2 linked regions of the Oreochromis niloticus genome follow. The protein of the gene in region 1 interacts with the protein of each later gene in a pairwise test. Links are inferred from orthologs where the notes say so. Each region holds a gene or a part of one and is shown in the gene's direction. Other genes may lie near its edges.

Region 1 (10,173 bases):
GGAAGCCTTTTTTGGGGCTCATCTCTCTCTCCTGTAGGATAATCTTGTCAGGTATCCTTACCAAAATGCACGGCGTGGCGACTTGTCTTTATGGAACAGAAATCGACTGCCAGTGGATGACTCTCCTCGCTGTCTGTCTCCAGCGAGGATCATTTTCGCAGGCCTTCTGCCCCAACGCTCACAGTGATGGGACACTTTGCCTCGGATGAAGAGCTTGTGAATATGTTAAGCAATGTGTCTTACACAAAGACTGACATGGATTCGCCCCGCATCCGGCCCTAACGACTCCTTACTTGCTCCTGCACGTGTTTGCTTCTGCCACAACTCGGGAAGCATTGAGTGAATTGGGAGCGACACGTGAAAGCGAGTAAGCTGTTTGCAGCCTGATGCAGCGGGCCGTCTTCATCGCAGACAGAATAGCATTTTAGGTGAAGTGCAATAGCATATATTATGGCTAAAAAAATAGCAAAAAAAAAAGAAGAAGAAGAAGAAGAAGAAGAAAAGTGTTGTTTGTCTAATCAGTGTCGCTCTTTTGACACAGTTCTTTGAAATGCTTGTTTCCACTCGTATGACTCTTTAGCTGCCTCCTCCCTGAGCTGAAAAAGGAAGTCCCCTCCTCCTTTCCTCCTCTTTCTCTCTGCTTTGCTGATGTCTGACAGATGCGTGTTGTTCAAAACAATGTTAGATACTTGAAATGCTGGCTGGGCGGTTTTTGTGCCTCTGAACTAGAATGATTTGAGTTTTCTCTGCTTCCTTGTTTGCACATACACTACACCTTATATCTACATACATACTGGCTCTCTATTTCTCTCTCTTACACACACACACACACACACACATGGAAGTACATTACACACATATACACACACACACACATCACCATGGCAATGTTTAGAAGAGCCTCTCCTAGTCACAGGGCAATGCAAATATTTTCCAATAGACTTGCTATGAAATATTTCTTACTCCAACTATGCTACTTAGTAATCCTTATTATAATACTTCAAATAATGTGAGTATATAATCAATGATTGTACAGTGAGTATGTCATGCTGTAAACAAATGTACATTTGCACTTTTCAGTGTATCTTTATTGTTTTTTCTTATTTATTTGTATTTAGTTTTATTTTTTTAAACCTACAAGATGAGTGCTGCTTGAAAGCGCAACGGGGGAAAGAAAACGGCACTTGGATGTTGCATGATCATCTTAGGAGTGAAATTTATGAGATATTAAATTTCAGAGTATGGGACAGTGGTTTGATTTCCTCATCCAAACATATCTGTCCCGCCACGTTTGAGGAGATGCAAATCCTCCGCTCTCCAGTGAGCATTTCTTTTAGAACATCTGGAGTCACGTGTGCGTCACTAGTGCGGCTTAAAGATGACACGATCAGGAGTGAAAAGAGGTGACTGTACGAGACGTCTTGGATGGAAGAAGGCAGGGATACTGAACAGAGAGCCAAATATGTCATTATGTAGCTAAAGAGGTTCACAGTCTCTTTGGGAAGCAGCTGGATTGGAGAGCGGATCACTAATCACTGATCTGCTTCGCTGTTCAGCACACGCACAGAGATGGCTGTCATTAATAGCAATAGTTCACATCGTGATGTTTACGAAACCTCCTGCAGTTTATAAGGTTTATGTTCTTCTTACCGGTTCTATTATGTGCAATAACCACACAAAGGCAACTCTGTGAGACCAATTACATGAAATGTGATGCTGAAATCAGAGCTTTTTTTGTCGTTGTTGTACTTTCGTTGCTTGTGTTCAGTGACAAAAGCTAATGTAGGGAAATGGATTGTCAGAGTGATTTAACCTGAAGGACCAAAGCGGGATCATAAAATTTATTCTAATATCAGGATAATTATAGAAAAATGCATGGAATGAAAAAAAGGTGTTTAAACTCAATTTTCCTACAAAAACAGATGAGATGTGTTTTAAGTTTCTCTAAACTGGAAGCAGAAACTTAACTGCAACTCCAACGACAACCAACGGACAGTCATCAAGTCATTGAACAGTCTGGGGGAGTTTGGGGCTTAGATGTTAAGCCCCGCGGTACCAAAGACGAAAACAAGTCTCCCTTCTTCTCCCCCAGAATGTACATGCAGTGTCCAATGTTCCCGTTAATTTTCTAACCAAAATAAGTCCTCTGCGGACACATTAACGAAGTCTGTGGTACACTCAGTTTGTCTGGTAGCATCCCTGATTAGCTGATTATAAATGAGGTATGGGAAGATGTGAGATATGTGTAAGCGTTATGAAGTAGCTATGGAAGTGAATTTGCAGGATGCAAGGTCACTTGAGCGCATGTTGACGTCACACTGTTTGCTCTTTATCACTTTGTTAAATCATTTCACAGCTTCATCCGTTTGCTCATAAGAAGCCACCAGGCTTATTGTGCACTCGCATGGTAAAGAGTAATATGCAGGCTATCCCTACAGAAAGCTTGGACTGTCTGATTAAAAATGTGTGATGGGATTAGAGGTAGTTGTTTTATCTGATTTATGGCTTAGAGTTTAATTTCTGATTTTAAAAAAATGCAAGTTCTGTATACTGAACGCTGTTCCGAGGATTATAATAAAGATCATTTATAACCTTTACCCTTTCTTTGTGAGATGATTTGATCGGACACTGATCGCTGATACTTTTTCCATAACCATATTTATACACTGATGAGTAGCAAACACTTAATTATTTGTGATTCTTTCCAGTGCTCAGGAGTACACTCATCATGAGCATTTTCACAATACTCTCTTAGCTTTAAATTTACATTAGAGGCATTTAGGTAACCCAGTAGTAGCTTGGCTGCTGTTTCGTGCCATGTATTGATACGAAAACCTCTTGAAACAGCTTTTTCAAATACACTCTAGCTGGGGCTACTAGCCCTGGTAAGAATGGCAGGTGTGCTTTAAAACATAAATCATAAAGCTGAGGGGCGTGTAGGACACATCAGGAAGAACCAGAAAATGATTTCCACATTTTATTGCACATTTTATAGCTCCGAAGCTCCCCAGTCCTGTTGACTCGGAGGGCAGTAATTGCAGACGGGCACAATGTAGCAGGATGAGAGGGACTGAAGTGTTTCCACAGATGTACATAATGGGTTTATCCAGAGTGGTGAAGCAGTTCAGTCATAAATTACATTCCTCATCTCAGCAGAAGGTGACAAAAGAAAAGCAGCTTCAACGTAAACGCTCTTTTTCCACATTCACTGGGAAAATATTTAGTTGGGGCTGAATAGGAAGCTAGATTTCAGACTTAATCGACTCTCATTTTTTTTAAAATAGGGAAAAAATACATGAATAAGCATGAAGAGAGAAGATATTCCTTCATTTTCTTTTGCTTATCCAGTTCAGAGTTGTAGCGGGGCTGGATCCTGTCCCAGCTTTGACCGGGTGAGAGGGAGGTTACACCGAAAACATAAAGTTCTTTGAGAGTGTTGCACAGCCTTAGAACGGACTTTAATAACTTGAAGATGATAAGGCTCTGCGTTAGCACCTTGAGACAAATCAGCGCACTCGCTGGCCAACAAGGCAGCACTATAGCTAGTAAAGGAGCTGCCTGCCTGCTACTTTGCTCACCTAAAATCCAGCAAACCGAACAAGCAAGGCAAGTTAGACTTCACGACTGTACTCACAATAATGGGGTCATTGAAGGTAAATGCTAGTGTGAAATTCTAATGTGTTTCACTGTTTGATAAACTGGTCAGAGATGAAACTCATTAGGTAGGCTTGGCGATCCCAGCAGGCCCGATATCCCATGACCTCTTACCTGCAATGATATATAAATAAAACACATAAAAGTGGTAGAGGCACAGCATTAATATTCTTCAACTCCCACTGAAGCTTTATTTAATGAACTACACGGCCTTGAAAGATAAAGACGGAGAATGATAACACAGCTCTCTGCTGTTAGAGCTCTGTAAAGTGCAGCTGGTGTTTCAATGCTTGGAGGGCTCTCTGAGTCTTCCCTATCACCACACAGTGAAGATGATGTTCAAAAACACCTCATGATAAACTCTTACACAGCTACCTGCAGATCTGTAGGCCCTGATTAAGGATACAGTCATTTGTAGCATTTAATGAAATGCAGATGTGGCTCTAGAAGTTCATTAGAAAAGAATGGTGGAGGTTGCATTAGCTTCACTGGACTGTGCCTTACCAGGCAGTAAGTGCAAAGATGTGCCTCAGGTTGCTAATGTGGACCTCCACAAAGCTGACCACATAACTGAGCATGCCACGCAAGGTTACTTTATGATGAGAGACCGTAGTTTTCAGTAGATGGTAAAACTTCTAATTACAGGGACGAGATCTTAGTAATCAAAAAAGGGGTCACTTCTTTTTTGACAAAGTAATGCTATATAAACAAATCATACTTGGTTAACAAGAATTTCACTCACATGTGCTGTACCAGTGTACCAGAACATGTGATGTGACAATAAAAGTGATTTGATTTGATTTAATGAATTCAAAACAGTACAAACAGCAGTTGAATAAAATAAATAAAAATAATAATAAAAATTAAATAATCAAGGAAGCTGAACACGTTATTGTTTTCAGTTCAGTTTAGTTTAAGTTAGATTCCACAGTTTGCATACTACTGTTTTAATTAGTACCTGCATGATTATTTAAGATCAGTACAATGTTCTGATACAGACATGTGGCTTCCAGTCATAATGATACTCCAGTATCAGTAGACATACTGGTTCATGCCAGTTTTGTTGACAAAATGTAATCAAATTGACAAAAACTAACTATTAAAAAATTGTGGTTTTTTTGGTTAGCTTTTTGGTAGATGCTATGATTCTTATAGTAGTTTTCTTTTTCCACTAATAAAGAAATAAATAGCTGTCCATTAGTCCAAATTATAGGTTATCATCTCAAAACTTTGACTCACAAACTTCTGAGAAAATAACTCAGAAATGAGGGGGAGAAAACTTCCCAACTGTTTTCAGTTACTTTACAAAAAATAAAGGTTTTTTTTTTTTTAATTCATTTTACCTTTAGTTTTTCACACTTTTATGCCAAGGGAATCGACACAGAAACATAAGCAAAATCCCCCCCGCTTAGCTTCCGGGTTGGTTTTCCGCGGCTCCTTCTGGAAGTTTCATCTTGCCGTATATTTCATCTTTGTTGTAGACCGGCATTTTCCCACAACACCCCGCTCCTGCTCGCACAGATGACGAAAATGGCGGACAACTCATCGTCGGTAGGCTTAAGAAAGATATAATGTTAATATAGGCACATTGACCGGTTTCAGAGTATAAATTAACGTGTTGTTATTTACAGGTCGAGATTGTGGAGGGCTGTCGCCTCCCGGTTCTTCGTAAAAACCAAGAACACGAAGACGAATGGCGTAAGTATTGTCCGTTTTTCTTTCAATGCTAAGCTAATGCTAAGGAGCTCAGCTCAGCTGTTGTTACCAGAAGCCACGGCCTCCAGTTAAAGCGCTGTAAACACCATGGCCACAGATGGTGCATGCAGCTGTAAAGTGTGAATGAATTAAATTTGAAGACTTAAGAAAGCTGCTGCCACTCTCTCGGAAATTAAATTGCCAACTCTTAAATTTGACTTAGTTTCACGTTTTGTAGAAAAAAAAAAAGTACTAAATGCAGGTGGCATCAGTGATGTTTACAAATTTGAGAGCGAATTTATCAGGTTATCTCTCTTACTCTCTTGGCACTCAGTTTGGTCCATAGTAATCTAACACTCCTTTTTAACACATTTAGGCAAAAATAAAGAAAGAAATTAACGAAATTAAAGCACAGGTGGTATTTAAACCAAATTTAATTGGGCATCGCACTTAGACTTTATAATCCTGATACCTCAGCATAAATAATTACATTTTAGGACATTTAAAATCTCCCATTAAAGTAGATTTTATGCACCTTTGGTTTATTTTTAGCATTGAAATCTAAACAGTAACTTTTATCACATATCACATGCCTGTGTATTTAATGTTAAGTGTGTTAAAGCTCCAGTGTTTCATAGAAAAGCATCACAACGATTGTCTTCATTTGAGTACAGTTCAGATAAAATGTGACATCTCTGCTTTGTACAGCACTGGCTGAAATCCTGAGTGTGAAGGAAGTTTCTGGGAGAAAGCTCTACTATGTTCACTACATTGACTGTGAGTATATTTTGTGTCAGTCGTCTTGGTTTTTCTCAAGATTTGATTCACAGCCCCAGTTTAGTAAACATACATCAAAGCTAATTACACCTTTTAAGGTTTGTTTATTAAGTTGTTATCTAAAATTGCAAAGCAGATTTTTATTTATCTAGTAGTTCATTGATTTTTTTTTTTTGTCATATTTGGATCAATTCAAAATTATAGCTTTGTACCACATAGCTTTTGATTTATTTATTTTTTCACCCACCGTTTCCTGTCATGCTATAAGCTAAATAACTTCACACATCAAATCACCACTCTCTCTCTTTGTCTGTGTATTTAAGTCAACAAACGTCTGGATGAGTGGGTCACAACAGAAAGGCTGGACATGAAGAAGCTTCAGTTCCCCAAGAAAGATGCTAAAACACCAACCAAGAATGGTCTTTCAGGTTCCCGTCCTAGTTCTCCGGAGGGAGGGAGAGAGAGAGAGAGAGAGAGAGAGAGAGAGAGAGAGAGAAGTGGTAAGGAGTCCACGTGTGATTTAAAGCAATGTAATTATGATTCTCACAGTGTTAAGAAATGACGTCAGTCTTAATTTCTGTGTTGTGTGGTTTTTATTCATTTTATAGAAAAACCTGCATGATGGTAAATTTCATATTTGTTGCTGTTCACTTCCATTGATGCATGGTATAAGCGCTGCTTTCCATGGTCACTTTAATAAGCTGCAGTGTGCTTTATGCTGCTTGAGCAGTGATTTGTAACAGTCTACCCACAGGAAATGCAGCCATAATAACAATAAAAATATAGATAAATAAAAGGGCATCATGTTATAGAGGACCCTGTTTTTAACAAAATATCAATATCCTCTTTTTTCAGTCTTACATTTCTGTGTTAATACTTCTTTGTGTCTAATTTTAAATCAAACACATGCCACTGAAATGGTGAAACGCTCTTTTTATGACTAAACCTTTAGTTCGATTTTGTGTGAATTGAATTCCTCAGAATTAACCTGAGGGTTAACATGAATTATGCCAGTGTTAACCCGCTTCCTTCTCTTCCTTTCCGTTCAATTCAGAGGAAGAGTCTAGATCTCAACGTACAAACTGCCACAGCTCCTTCCAGAGGCAAAACCCTCCCCACTCCGGTACAAGTAGAATTCACCCACTCCACAAATTACTGAGATCTTTTTAAACCTGGTGTCAATGTGATTCTTGTGTGATGGCCCCACTGTTAATGTTGCCCTGCATGGGAATATAAAGCTATGCAGAGCTATAAGGTAAAGTAAGTCACATCTGAAAGACGTTTAATATAGAGTGTATCCAAATGAAGATTTATAATAGGAAGTGAAGCCCATCTGTTGCCATCACATTTAATACCAGGTTTAATGGGGTGTATTTACATTGGTTAACCTGCAAATTATCTGAGATTTGGAGAAATAAATTGATTTGCTGTGGCTATTAAAGATGCACAGTCTTAGTTCTGTCTGCATACAAACTGCTGAAAAAGCATCTTGATATCAAGATGTCACTCTTCATTGAATACAAATGGAGTCCCCTGCTTTTAATCAAGCCTCTGATCAAGTTGACATGAAAAAAAAAATCCCATCAAATTCGCCTTTGTTTGGTTTGTTTGTATTCGATCTTAAAGCTGAATGTCTAACACTGTTTGTTTGCTGCAGAAGAGGAAAGTAGAGCCTGCCCCTGTGGCTCCTCAGGTACCCCCGGTCACCCCTGTGCCCTCCCTCCCAAGTTCAGCTGAAGCCACTCAGGCAGCTGTTTTTCCTGCCGTGAGAGAGACGCCCACCTTTAAGTCCCGTGAAGACCATGAGCTCACAACGGTAAAGAAAATCCTCTTAAATTCTCTCTCTGTGTTTTTTTTTTTTTTTTTCTTTTCTCCTATTTGCTAATGAATATCTTTTAATGTCCTACTCACAGCAGAATGGCAACGCCCGACGACTCATCCCTGCTCCACCTGGGAGGAAAAGGAAAGCTAATTGTGGGGGAACTGACGAGGTACGTTACCTTGATTTACTGCATGTTTGTGGTCGTGTTATTCGCTTTGTTTTTTAAATTTGTTAAGAGTCTGTGTTGGGTTTTGTGGAGTTGTATTAGAATGCATTTTGCAAAGTCAAAATGCATGTGCAGAGTGTCACAGTCCGCTTACTGGAGCATTCTCCGGTGCAGCTGGTGACATTCATTAAGACTGGTGCACGGTTCTTGCACAAGATCTATACTGTTGTAATAGGACATATTTGTTTTATTATGGGGACCTATTGTGCTTATTTCCAGCACCATATTTTAATTCTTGGACTTTATTAAAGTAGCTTTGCATGATTCACAGTTCAAAATAATGCTTACTTATCCTGTATGGGGCCCTGGTGCAGCCCCTGAGTTCATCATCTGTCTGGAATGAGAATTATTAGCCTTGTTTCTCCTCCATTTAAGTCCGCTTTCTTTTGATTGGCTGCTCCTTGCCAAAAAAATGTTTGAGCAGCAGGTGGACGAGGTCTCCATGACAACTAGCTCATGGATATCCTTAGCAATGCCGCTGTCATCACGCGGATTTAAGAGTAGAAAAACTGTCTGAAACAGCGTGTGAGCTTTTGCCTTACAGCAATCATTTGTACATATGTTGACCTTTTGAACTCTGGCCAAATTTATTCTGACCATCCACATCTGTAAAGGTGTGCATATACGACAGAAAATAAGGAAAAGAATAATCGCTATCCCCCCAAAAAAACTTTGTCTGTACCCATATAAAATGTCAACATCACTGCACAGGATTCAAATGTGATAAATTATTGTTCTCATGTATTTGTTTATAAACCCCACGTGCAATCATAATGATGAAAATGTTTTGTTTTTTTTAAAGATTGCTTTGTCATTCTTTAACTTCCCCCTTTCTTTACCCTTTATATATATATATGTGTGTGTGTTTCCCTTTTCATTTCTCACCCACTGTTTCCCTTCTGACCACCACAAAACAATTCATTAGTGTGTTTTTATGCATTGATGTGTTCTTAGCTCGTTTTTATTGTGGTGTTTAAAGCAGGGAATTACATTTGCAGCTATTTGGTTATGGCTTGTTAGCTTAACGACCCTCCTGAAAAAGAACTTGCTCTTTATTTATTTATATTTAGGTTGTTTGATTACTTTGTCATACATTTCATTCTAGCTAATGGGCACAGTAACATATATGCTGGCAAATATTGAGGACTGTATGTTGTGCTTTCATATATTTTTATTTTTCAGCATCAGGTCTGGTTAAATTCTGCAGCTTTTTAAAATATTCAATGAGCATTTCATTCATTCTCCTGTGTGGGTCTATGTATTTGAGTTGATGTGTGGCTCTTTAAAAACAAAAAAAGAAAGAAACTATCCTCTTTAAATGAATCTGACCAAGATCTTGACACCACATTTTACCAGGAGCCTGTAATTGTAATTTTATGTCTCAAAAATGTAGTTTGACAAAACATTTTCAGCGTTTGCTGCTTTTGAGGGTTTAGTGTAACCTGCGATGTTCTGTTTTCTCCATCAAGCTACATGTACGCTACTCTCATGTTTTATGCCAACCTGCAGCGCTCTCACATCAGCGGTGATGACAGTGGCCATTGGGTTCTTCATAAACATTAACAAATCTGTCAAATCCACATGAGATGAATGTTTGTGTTTGCTCTTTTCCGCACTCTTCATTCACTGTCTAACATGTCTGTCTCTGTGATTATGATCACCAGTCAAAGCTGACGGGCTCCTCATGCAGCCAACCTGGATTTTACTAGAAGTCAAAACAATATACTGAAGATCATTACTGCTTTCAGTCTGGCACTTAACCTGTTCAGTGTCAATAAGAATCATTTTATTCCCCTTTTTAGTTTCCCAAAGCCCGTGTTTTTGTGTCTTTTTCTGCTAGATGATAAAGGTTTTGCAGTATAACAAGCCTCAAAGTGCCAGTGTCTTTCTACCACCACCAGAGGTCTGTTTAATTTCCTATTATTGCCCGTTGATTGTGTGTTGCTTTCCAAATTCAACTGTGCCTTAGTGGGTCCAATAAATCAGAGGTGCTGCTTAC
Region 2 (10,330 bases), on another chromosome or scaffold:
TGTAATGGTAAGAAGAAGAAAACTACGAAGAAGAGATGTGTGGTACAGTTTTTGGAGGCATCTAAGTCAATTTTGTTTTCCCTTTTTACAGATAGACGAGGACATGACGGCGAGGATCAGCATGGCAGACGTCAAGTTTTCCTTCCAGTGTCCTGGCAGGATGTACTCGCCAGCATGGGTAGCCCCTGAGGGTAGGCATCAGTCATACAGCACAGATCCAAAGTGACAGCTGAAGCCACACAAGCTTGCACTTGAATGATGGATGCAGGAAACTGTAGACTGTCTCTGAGCCAAATGTAATTTGCAGCTGATTTCCCCAGGAGATAGATTGAAATCAAAGTTAGCTGGAAACATAAACTGATTACAAAATGTGAAAATAACCAGGGAACATTTGCAACGGAGAAGCAAACAGAAACGGCGTGTGGGGGATGGGATACAGGATATTTATCACCACCAGTTACATAGAAACAACATGTATGTATGTTGTGATATGCAAGCAAATATTTCTTGTGTTTAAAACACAAATACACAGAGTTGGCATGGTAACAAATTTTGATAATATGCCTTTATATTCAGGAATTTTTTGTAATATGTAATAATAGAAATGCACTACTGTTTCGAATTTTCCTTATATTAGCAAGTTTGCTTATTGTATCATTTTGCAGAAGAATTGCAACAATATGTTTCTACTGCTTTTGCAACATGATGATATTTACATTTCAGTCATTTCTAAAGGATTATGGAATTTGGTTTAATGGCTGGTTGGTAATTGGTTTTAAACAGGCTGTTCAATCTTCAAAGAAACATGGCCACTTACACACTTACAGAGGCATGAGTTTAGTTAGATTTTACTTTAGCCTGGAATCCAAGCTGATGTATATGCACTAACTTTACAATAGGACTAAACAGATGGCACAAGACACTGTTGTTGAAGTAAATGTATTTAAGCTGACATTAGGTTTGTGCTGCGCTTTGTATCTGTAACCTGCTACCTGCCTTTGTGAAATCAGCTGCTCAAATGTCTTCAGTTTCTCTTCATCTCCAAGATTTGGTTTCCATAGCAACATATACTGTACGATGCTAGATCACAGGCAAAAAGCCCACAGAGCTCCATGTTGTTCAAGCTTTTTTTTTTTTTTTTTTTTTAAGATAAATACTGAACTGTCGTGCAAAATACATTCCTTAGGATTCCCCACTTTATACTGTATACTGTATATATTTCTGCTTCTCTGCTGCTGTTTGTAGGCAGACACTAGTTTGCAAGAGTGGAAACAGAAATTGCCTCTATTTTTTCTAATGCAGTATTTTTTTGGACATTACTTGCTGCAGATTAGTAGACCATTGACTACTATATTTTGTACCTGAGTTCTGCAGACTCGTTGACATGACACTGCATGTGACACAAGGTGGTGATTTTGATCAGCTATTCATGATATCAAATTAGGCACATCCTAAGGAAGGAACCGCCCCACTAGTTGCAATAACTTTTCATTTCTCCACAGTAGTCTGAGGATGTGGCATGTTGTTACGTTACTCTATAACCTTCTTTATTTTTCTTGGCATTGCTCAGCCCTTCAGAAGAAGCCAGAAGAGATCAACCGCCGGTCAGCAGACATGTGGAGCTTTGCTATCCTGCTGTGGGAGTTGGTAACCAGAGAAGTGCCGTTTGCTGACCTGTCCAACATGGAGATAGGCATGAAGGTTAGCAGCACTGTTGCTTATTAGATTAACAACTGGATATCAGCAGCTTGCAGACAGACCTCACAATTATGACCTGTTAGTTTAATGGATTTAATGTGTCTGTATGTTCTGGGTTATAGGTTTCTTTGGAGGGGTTGAGGCCCACTATCCCCCCTGGCATCTCTCCCCACATTTGCAAGCTCATGAAGATATGCATGAACGAAGATCCAGCAAAGAGGCCTAAATTTGACATGATTGTGCCAATTCTGGAAAAAATGCAGGACAAGTGAAAAAACCTCTTCTGACCTTCTTTACCTAACCGATGAACAACAGGATATCTTAACCCAGATTTGACTCTGAGATGTTGGTGTGGTGCTTACCAATATTGCCTTAAAGTCTCATTCTCACCCTCTACCGCTGTATTCAACGCCACTGTACCTTCTGCTTGTGAGATGAATTCAGCAGAAATCACTCCTTTTTATATTTTGTTTTTTTTCTTCTTCTGTTAGTGATATCAAAGTTTTATTACAGTTTTTGTTACTGATCTGCTGACACTGTCTGCAGAAGCATAGTATTTACTGTTCACTGTATAAACTGCAATCATATTGAATTGAGTACAATCTCAAGTGACAGAATAACCTGTGGAGGTCAGCATGATATTCTGTTGAATTCCTTCTGTGGTGGGCCTGCCATGCTGATCCTCGCTGTATTAAAAAGTCTCCCTCTAAGGTGACTGCTCCTTTTGCAATGATGGCCCATAACAAACGGATAACATATTAACCCAAAGCTTGTGGGAATACGTTTGTTGTATTAATATTATCAAATGTTTGAAGCTGAACATTTAAATGTATTAGATAATAAAACAATATGAATGAGCAGTGCCCTTGAGCGCACGTACAAAAAGCAGCATTGTGCCTTTTAGCTGGGCTGCATAGTGGTAATGATGAGCTTGGCCTTTTCGTAGACCGACTATATCCTGTGCAACCTCCCAATGATTTAAAACTGGCCATAAAAGCTTTTCTGTTTGGAGTTTTTGGGAAAAATTCACCCAGAATGGAATGGAATTCTTGGTAATTGTGTTAATGTAATCGGCATTACTTATTTGCTTAATCTTTCAGTAATTGTTATTTTTTCCCTGATACATTATTTGAATCCTGTTTGCTCTACTGTTGAACAAAAACGTCAGTCAGCTTGTGTCATCATGTATGAAAGTGTTTGGGCTCAATGCTGACATTTCTTTGTGAACCGACGTGAAAACTGCATCCTATTATGTAATTTATTAAAGCATAAGATAGATACAGTCAAAATTAGGTGTTGTCAGGGACACTTCCCCCAGTTTCTTGGTTGTCATCAAGGGTTTGACTAAACATGTGTTTGTGTTCGCTCATTTGTTATTTGATCCACTGGATTACTTCTTGCTTTATATCCCACTCAAGGTTTTTTTGTTTGTTTTACTTCAGTCTTTTCTGTGCCTCCACCAGCTTGCTTGTTTGTGCTGAAGCCAAAATCAAGAATGACATATGCAAATGTATGTATTTATATATAAGTATATTAAAAAATAGAACATATGGACAACTTGAATGTGGGCATTTTCTGGAGGGAACTGGACATGACAGGGTTATTGTGGAAAATGTATAAAGATTGCAAATAGATCTCTTTAAGAGAGGCGACATAAGTTTCAGGGTATTGACATTTAAATGTAACATTCATCTTATGAGGAACAGGGCTTTCTGTAGTATTGAGTCTCGTTATCTCAGTCAGTATCAGTATCGACATACAAATTTGATCAGAAATGTAAAACATCAATGAGTAGTATGAGGCAATAATAGAGTTAAGGGTTTATCACTATTTTAGAAAGCATACTTTCCCAGTATCGGGCATACTCTCCAGGTACACCTGTTTAACTGCTTGCTAATGCATATATCTGCTATCATCCAGTGCATTTAGGCATATGAACATGGTGAAGCTTAGATAAACCTGAGCATTAGAATGCAGGAGAAAAATGATTTAAGTCACTTTGAATTTGGTGTAGTGTATGGTCTGGGGAAAAAAAGAGCAGCAGTTCTCTGGGCGAGAATGCCTTGTTGATGACAGAGGTCAGAGGATAATGGCTTGGAGCTGATAGGAAGGCAGTAGTAACTGAAATAACCACTCACTGCAACCAAGATATGCAGAAGAGGGTTTCTGATTGCACAGCAAACCTTGAAGCAGATGGGCTAAAGCAGCAGATCGTGTCTGGTGCCACTACTGTCAGCTAAGAACAAGCAACGGAGGGTTTGGGCTAACCAAAATTAGACAATAACAGTTCTGATGAGTCTTGATTTCTGCTGCAATATTCAGGCCAATTACTACCTTCACCACAGCCTGAGTCTGTTTACTGACCATGTTCATCCCTTTATCACGGCAGTGCATCTAGCAGGATAGCATGTCATGTCCCAAAAGCTCAAACTGGTTTGTTGAATGCAACAATGGGTTCTCAAAATGGCCTCATACTCACCAGATGTCAGTGGAAAAAAGCACCTTTTGAATGTGGTGGAACGAGATTTGCATCATGGATGTGCAGTTGACAAACCTGCAACAAGTGTGTGATGTCAGTGTCATGTCAGTATGGACCAAAATCACTAAATGTTTTCAGTACTTTCTTCATTTAAGGCCAGTTTTTCTTTCAAACGTGTCCAGTGACATGTAGCAATACATTGTTATATTCAATTATATAAGTGGAGTTGAGACACCTAAATACAATTGGCTTTTAAAAAAATATGTTTCAAGCTTTTACCACTGCTACTACTCAGCAAAGTATTTTACAGTGTTGCTTTAGTACTTTTTTGGCCAACGGATGTTAACACAGATAAAAGCAGGGCTTATTAAAAAGTGCTCTGCCAATATGAATATGAACATTTAACGCATTTAATGTATCAATCCATATAATGCAGAGACAAAAAAATGGAAAAAGGCCCCAAGGATCCATACACCCAGATGCAAAAAAAAAATAAATAAATAAAAAAAATTCACTCATTCTTTTTGTATTTTTGCACCTTTTTGTAACCCTTCTGTCTTTGTGGTGCGATTTTGCAGCTCTTTATTGATTCTTTTATTGCGTCTAATGTTGGCCATTTTATTAATTTCAGGTGTTTTGTGGTCACTTTTGCATCTCTCTGTAGTTGTTAAATTCAATTTGAGCCTGTTTTTGGCCACCTTTTGCGTCTTTTTGATGTCATCTTCATCTCCCTGTGATTATTTTGCATGCCTTCTTTTCTTATTTTACTTGTTATGGTTTCTTTCTGGGTTAGACCGGGAGCTGTATGTCCGTTCGGTAATCCCCCCGCTCAGCGCCTAATCAATATTTCCAAAAACAGTGTGAAGGACCGGTTTTCCTTCATTAGGTCTGCCTCCTGCTCTGTGCCTGAGTGGCAGTAGTGGGCTCTGGCCGTGACGTTAATCCGTGACGCAGGTTCGTCCTCCATCACTAGCCGAGCCCACTGACAGAAAACACCACCTAGAAACCGAGCGAGAGCCCTCACGATCTGTGGAAATATGTAGTTATTCTACACATTTGAGCGCATTTCGACGACAAAGGAGTTTGGTGAGCTGGTGAGTCAACATTTTTTAATAAAATCAGTGCTGCTGCAGTCACTTTGCTTCTGCAGTTTGGAAATGTTAGCTAGCTAACCGAGAAGCTAACATTAGCCTAGCAAAGACGTCGGTGATGGCGGACGGTGCCCGTTATTTCCAACTGCGGCGATGGTATCTAACAAGTAAAACCACGGTATTTACCTAGGTTTTATTAAACAATCATAGGAGCGAACCTAAATAATGACCCAGGTTGATACAGGCTCTTTACTGGGGCCGTTTATCTAAAAAGGAAAAAGGTCGTGTTGGCAAATGGAAGGTGAAGCTGCTGAAGTGCGTTTTGTATTCGTCAGAAACCAAACAGAGAAAGTTGCGAGTAAAATGACCATCCCGGAATACACGAACAAGAAACAGACTTCATCCTTCATATTTAAACGTTATTAATTCGCTGATAATTTAACATTTAACGGCGACTGTGAAACATTTGAATACATTTGTATCAAGCGATCGTTCTATATTTGAGAAACCTTGATCAGAATCTTTGCTAAAATCACTGCTAACTAGTATGCTAAAGGTAATGCTAATGTATTTTTCCCCCTCTCTATCAGAGCAGGTACATGGACAGTTACCATGGGTGGTCATGATGATGAAGATATGACATATGTTGTGAATAAACAGAAGCAAGACGAAGAGCTAAAGAATAAGCTGAATGACGGCAGCCACTGGTGCGACCAGGAGTCCACCGGCAACAATGCCAAGTGGGTCAAGGAAGGCCAAAACCAGCTGCGGAAAGTAGCGGAGAACCAGCAGGACCAAGACCACAACTGCAATATCAATCAGAATGGGAACAAGGAAGACTTCCCTCACCAGAACACCACTCAGGAAGATCAACAGGGTAACGAGGAGCAGACCAAGTCTCCCAAAATAGCAATGACCCCTGGTCTCAGTCAGGAGGAGTCAAATAACATCCTTAATGAGCCGCTTCTCATTGACACCCTGGAGTCCACAGAAGAGAAAGATAAAGAGAGAGAAGAGGATGATAAAGAGAAGGAAAGTAAATTGGAAGACGATGAAGAAACATCAGGTGGCACCAGAGGAGAGAAACTGGCAGATGAAGAGAGTAATGTGGAGTCTCAGAGAGTGGGGAGGAACGCTTGCCTGCTATTTTCCAACATGAACGGGACACCAAGTGATGAAGAGTCCAGCTGGCCTGCTCTGTCTCAGGACAACACAGCTGACAGCTCTCCAAATGGCAACAGAGGTAAAAACTAAACTAAACAAAACAAAACACAGAAGGTGTTTAGACAACTTTATATGTTGTAGCTTGTGCAGATATTAAAAAATCTGAAGAATGCACTCTGTTTATTAGCATCATACTGCAGCTAACAAGAAAAGCCAAAATGGTCAAAATAGAAGCAACACAGGATGATTTGGCTGCTAAACATATTGGTAAAGAAGATAGACTCCTGGAAATAGTGAATTATCATCTCTTTATTTACATTCCAGTGTGATTGTCAGACGCTATACTTTATTACTTAAAGAACTAATTATTTTTAGTTATTATTAGTTTTAGCCTTTTTTTTTTTAAATACTGCAATATTAGGTTGGTGTTTTTTCTCAGGGGCAAAATTTAGAAAGCAGAACAGCTATTACATCTTCACCAAAGCTTCCCAAGGCTGGTCGTGTTGACCAAATCAAAAAAAGTAAAATGTTTATTTTACTTTGTTAATTAGATAGTTAATATGCATTTCCAAACAAAGGTTTAGCTTTTAGTTGAGATGACGTTACCTGTAGTAACCTTGGTCTCCTACTTCCCGCCCTTCAGAGTCTTTCTGGGATTCCAGCGCTTTTGAGACGGACACAGACCTGCCCTCAGGATGGATGAGGGTGCGAGATACATCAGGCACGTACTACTGGCACATCCCCACAGGCACCACTCAGTGGGAGCCTCCTTCACCGCTGGGTAAGGTTGGGGACTCCATGATGTCGTCCACGATGTCGCTGGAGACTACACCCTGTGAGGAACCTGAGGTGAGGTCTAACCAGCATCCTAATTTGACAGAGGCACTGACAAGTCAAACTGTTGCTAATGGTAAGTCTTGTCACATTTTTCCAGGAATCTTGGGCTCAACTGTCCAGCACTGATGAAGGTGCTGGTGAAGGGGAACTGTGGAAGGTAAATCATGGCTAGAGTTTTATTCAGCTTACCTCTTTGAGTATATTTAGTATGGATGTGCATAATGAGTCCAAAAGAAGATTAAATGTTGCTGTCATCGCTTAGTTAGACAAATTTTTCATTTTATGAATCTATAAGGTGGAAAGTAAGACAGATGTTCTGCAGTACTTTGATCTAGAACAAGGATAGTTGTATGTAGTACTCAAATAAATCAATGCTTAACTACATTCCCTGAAGAATGAAAGCTGTTGGTTAGCACATTTAATGTTATTCAGAATCTGCAAACAAACCTAGATAGTTACTAGATTCAAGATGGCTTATTGTCATTTCGAATGGTATTTGCAGAAATACACAGGCTGAAACAAAATGTTGTTTCTCGTCAGCCTCTACAGTGCAATAATCAATAAAAAATAACAACACAGTATCTAACAATCAAGCAGCAGGTTGCCAAGACACTCGGCAAACTCAGGTGTAAACATTCACATTAGGTAGCAGCAGGCCTCTCACAAAGAGAGTGTGCAGTGTTATGCCACACATTTCAGTGACATTTAAAATAAGATCTGACTATTAAAGAATATGATTAATGGCTTAAAAGCACGCTAAATACAAACAGTTTTTTATGGAGAATATTTACCCTAATTCATTAGAATGAATTAAAACTTGATTTTTTTTTTAAAACTTTAAGACTAGCTCACTGTTAAAAGGTTTGGCATTCTCCCATTTAAGACTAGTAACAATATGACAGAATTTACATACCTTACATGCACATACGCTCTGTGATTAAATGGCTCCATCTGCACATAAATGTTTGTCTTTAGGAGGAGGGAGAAGTTGCATCTGATCAAAGTCTGAAGGAGTTTGAAGGAGCAACTTTACGCTATGCATCTATCAACCTGAAGTATGTGGTGTTAAAACTTTCTAATTAGTCAGTGTTAATTTTGCAGATTTTTAACTTTATTTTCTGTCATTGTAGTTATAATTGCTCCCAGTCTGAGGATGAAGAGAAGCTTGCTCCACTCTGCACAGACTTAGAAACTAAGGTAAATCAACTGCTTAATTTTAGATTTTTTCAAAATGTTCAGAGTAGTTTGGTCTCAGTTTTCCTTTTAGAAATGCTGTCACAGAAAAGTGTCATTAGAATGCGTCTCAGACATCTAGGACATATGAAATGTGTAGAGGGGTTGGTTATTTATCTATTTATTTACCTACCTACCAAAAATTAATCGTTTTCTGCACATGAAATAATTTTTTTGTCCTAGTTTAAACTAATATGCAGCACATTTGTACTGTCAGTGTTTCGCAGTGCGCTCTCTGGGCTGGGTTGAGATGTCTGAAGAGGACATGGCACCTGGCAAGAGTAGCGTCGCTGTCAACAACTGCATCAGGCAGCTCTCTTATCACAAACACAACCTTCATGACACCGCTGGGATCTGGGGAGAGGTAAGATGATTGTAATGACACACACACACGCACACAGATATCTTCATGACATTTTATGTAATGCTCTTTTTTTAATAAGAACTTCTTTGAATGTGAAGGGCAGAACATGTTTCATTTAGTGGTTGGTTCCAACCACAATTTGTCTTTGATGGTTTGAAAATGATTGATAATGCTCCATTTCCATTTCTGAAATAGTGTTTTGAATTTCAGAGAAATACTTTAAGTACCGTGGGTAACAATAACATTTTGGAGAAATGTGTGCTTAGTCTGACTCGTCAAACTGAAACGTGTTTTGTGACAGGGTAAAGACATGCTAATGGTCCTGGAGAATGACACCATGAAGTTGATCGACCCGCTGGGCCAGACTCTGCTTCATGCTCAGCCGATTGGCAGCATCCGTGTCTGGGGTGTCGGCAGAGACAACGGCAGGTCAGTGTCCACAGCACAAGGCCAAATTGAAAATGGCAGAACTATAAAATGTATGTAACTGCCTTCTTCAATCAGTTTTGAAAACAAATGTAATGTCATTGGCCTGCTGTTTTTTATGTTACTTAAAAAATGTAATTTTTCACTTTAAGCTCATATAATTTTTTTTTTTTTTTAATTGGACATGGATTTTTTTTCTTCTTTCTATTAGAATGTAGCTCACATTTGTAATTTGTGTGAGGTCCTCAGTGAGAGCATGTTTCTAATGAGGCTATTTAAATGTGAAATGAAATATCTCCAGGCTTTTTCCTAGGTTAAAATCTCCCTTTGGATGGCATGTAAATGTGATTGGATTTTTTTTTTTCTTTTTCTTTTTTGCATTTCCCAATTTTTGAGTTACTTTGAATCGTGACAAGCACAATGTATTTTAAGATTAAGTAAATTTAACACCACTTATTAAATGGAGGGGGGCGGATCATATCTTATGTATCACAATCTTGATAACTCTCCTGATGGATGCCAAAATGTTTAAATGGAGTGGAAATCCTCTGTTTAAGATTAACTGAAGTGTGCTGTGATGAATTCTTGCATTGAGTGAAATTTAGTTTAGTTGAGTTGCAGAATATTCTTCATAACTTCTGACTGAATAAGCTGCTTTGTTTTCCATATTTGAATTTTTTTGCTGTTTTTGTATTGAGTCCTTACTCATTGGTTTAAAATGATGTACTGCAGTTCTGAGGTCTGGCATGGTGGCTGTGTTAGTCTTTATTTTGCAGCATGCTGCTGCCCTCTGCTGGATTTTTAATAACATTGCCTCCTGTCTCTGATTTCTTAACAATTGCCTGTTTCTTTGTTTTCTTTTCTTTCATGCTGCATTTTCAATCATGAGCAGGGAAAGGTATCCATTAATGATTACTATTCTTAAAAACTGTATATAATTCTTGTTGTGTGCCATTTTGTTGTTATTTTCGTGTGTGTGTGTGTGTGTGTGTGTGTGTGTGTCTGTGTCTGTGTCTGCATGTCTGTGTTTTATGCTCA

Evidence for each region. The genes of interacting proteins can lie anywhere in the genome.
Region 2: the proteins of histone acetyltransferase KAT5 (region 1) and apbb1 interact in binary tests that used the Homo sapiens proteins (3 or more experiments, as listed by UniProt). The link is inferred for Oreochromis niloticus from reciprocal best matches to the Homo sapiens genes KAT5 and APBB1.

Annotation. Positions count from the first base shown.
Region 1 is NC_031975.2:11,843,646-11,853,818, forward strand, and holds the start of histone acetyltransferase KAT5, read left to right. Parts: upstream 1-5,066; 5' UTR 5,067-5,175; coding exon 5,176-5,205; intron 5,206-5,285; coding exon 5,286-5,352; intron 5,353-6,057; coding exon 6,058-6,126; intron 6,127-6,449; coding exon 6,450-6,588; coding exon of another isoform or gene 6,589-6,626; intron 6,627-7,176; coding exon 7,177-7,249; coding exon of another isoform or gene 7,250-7,255; intron 7,256-7,783; coding exon 7,784-7,942; intron 7,943-8,039; coding exon of another isoform or gene 8,040-8,042; coding exon 8,043-8,117; intron 8,118-10,014; coding exon 10,015-10,077; intron 10,078-10,173. UniProt on the Homo sapiens protein: Catalytic subunit of the NuA4 histone acetyltransferase complex, a multiprotein complex involved in transcriptional activation of select genes principally by acetylation of nucleosomal histones H2A and H4.
Region 2 is NC_031979.2:28,796,256-28,806,585, forward strand, and holds the start of apbb1 (amyloid-beta A4 precursor protein-binding family B member 1), read left to right. Parts: upstream 1-5,102; 5' UTR 5,103-5,271; intron 5,272-5,858; 5' UTR 5,859-5,880; coding exon 5,881-6,511; intron 6,512-7,075; coding exon 7,076-7,281; intron 7,282-7,366; coding exon 7,367-7,426; intron 7,427-8,244; coding exon 8,245-8,324; intron 8,325-8,399; coding exon 8,400-8,466; intron 8,467-8,719; coding exon 8,720-8,866; intron 8,867-9,167; coding exon 9,168-9,295; intron 9,296-10,184; coding exon 10,185-10,190; intron 10,191-10,330. Other genes in the region: integrin-linked protein kinase, read left to right, coding at 1-7, 92-191, 1,571-1,701, 1,821-1,970. UniProt on the Homo sapiens protein: Transcription coregulator that can have both coactivator and corepressor functions. Adapter protein that forms a transcriptionally active complex with the gamma-secretase-derived amyloid precursor protein (APP) intracellular domain.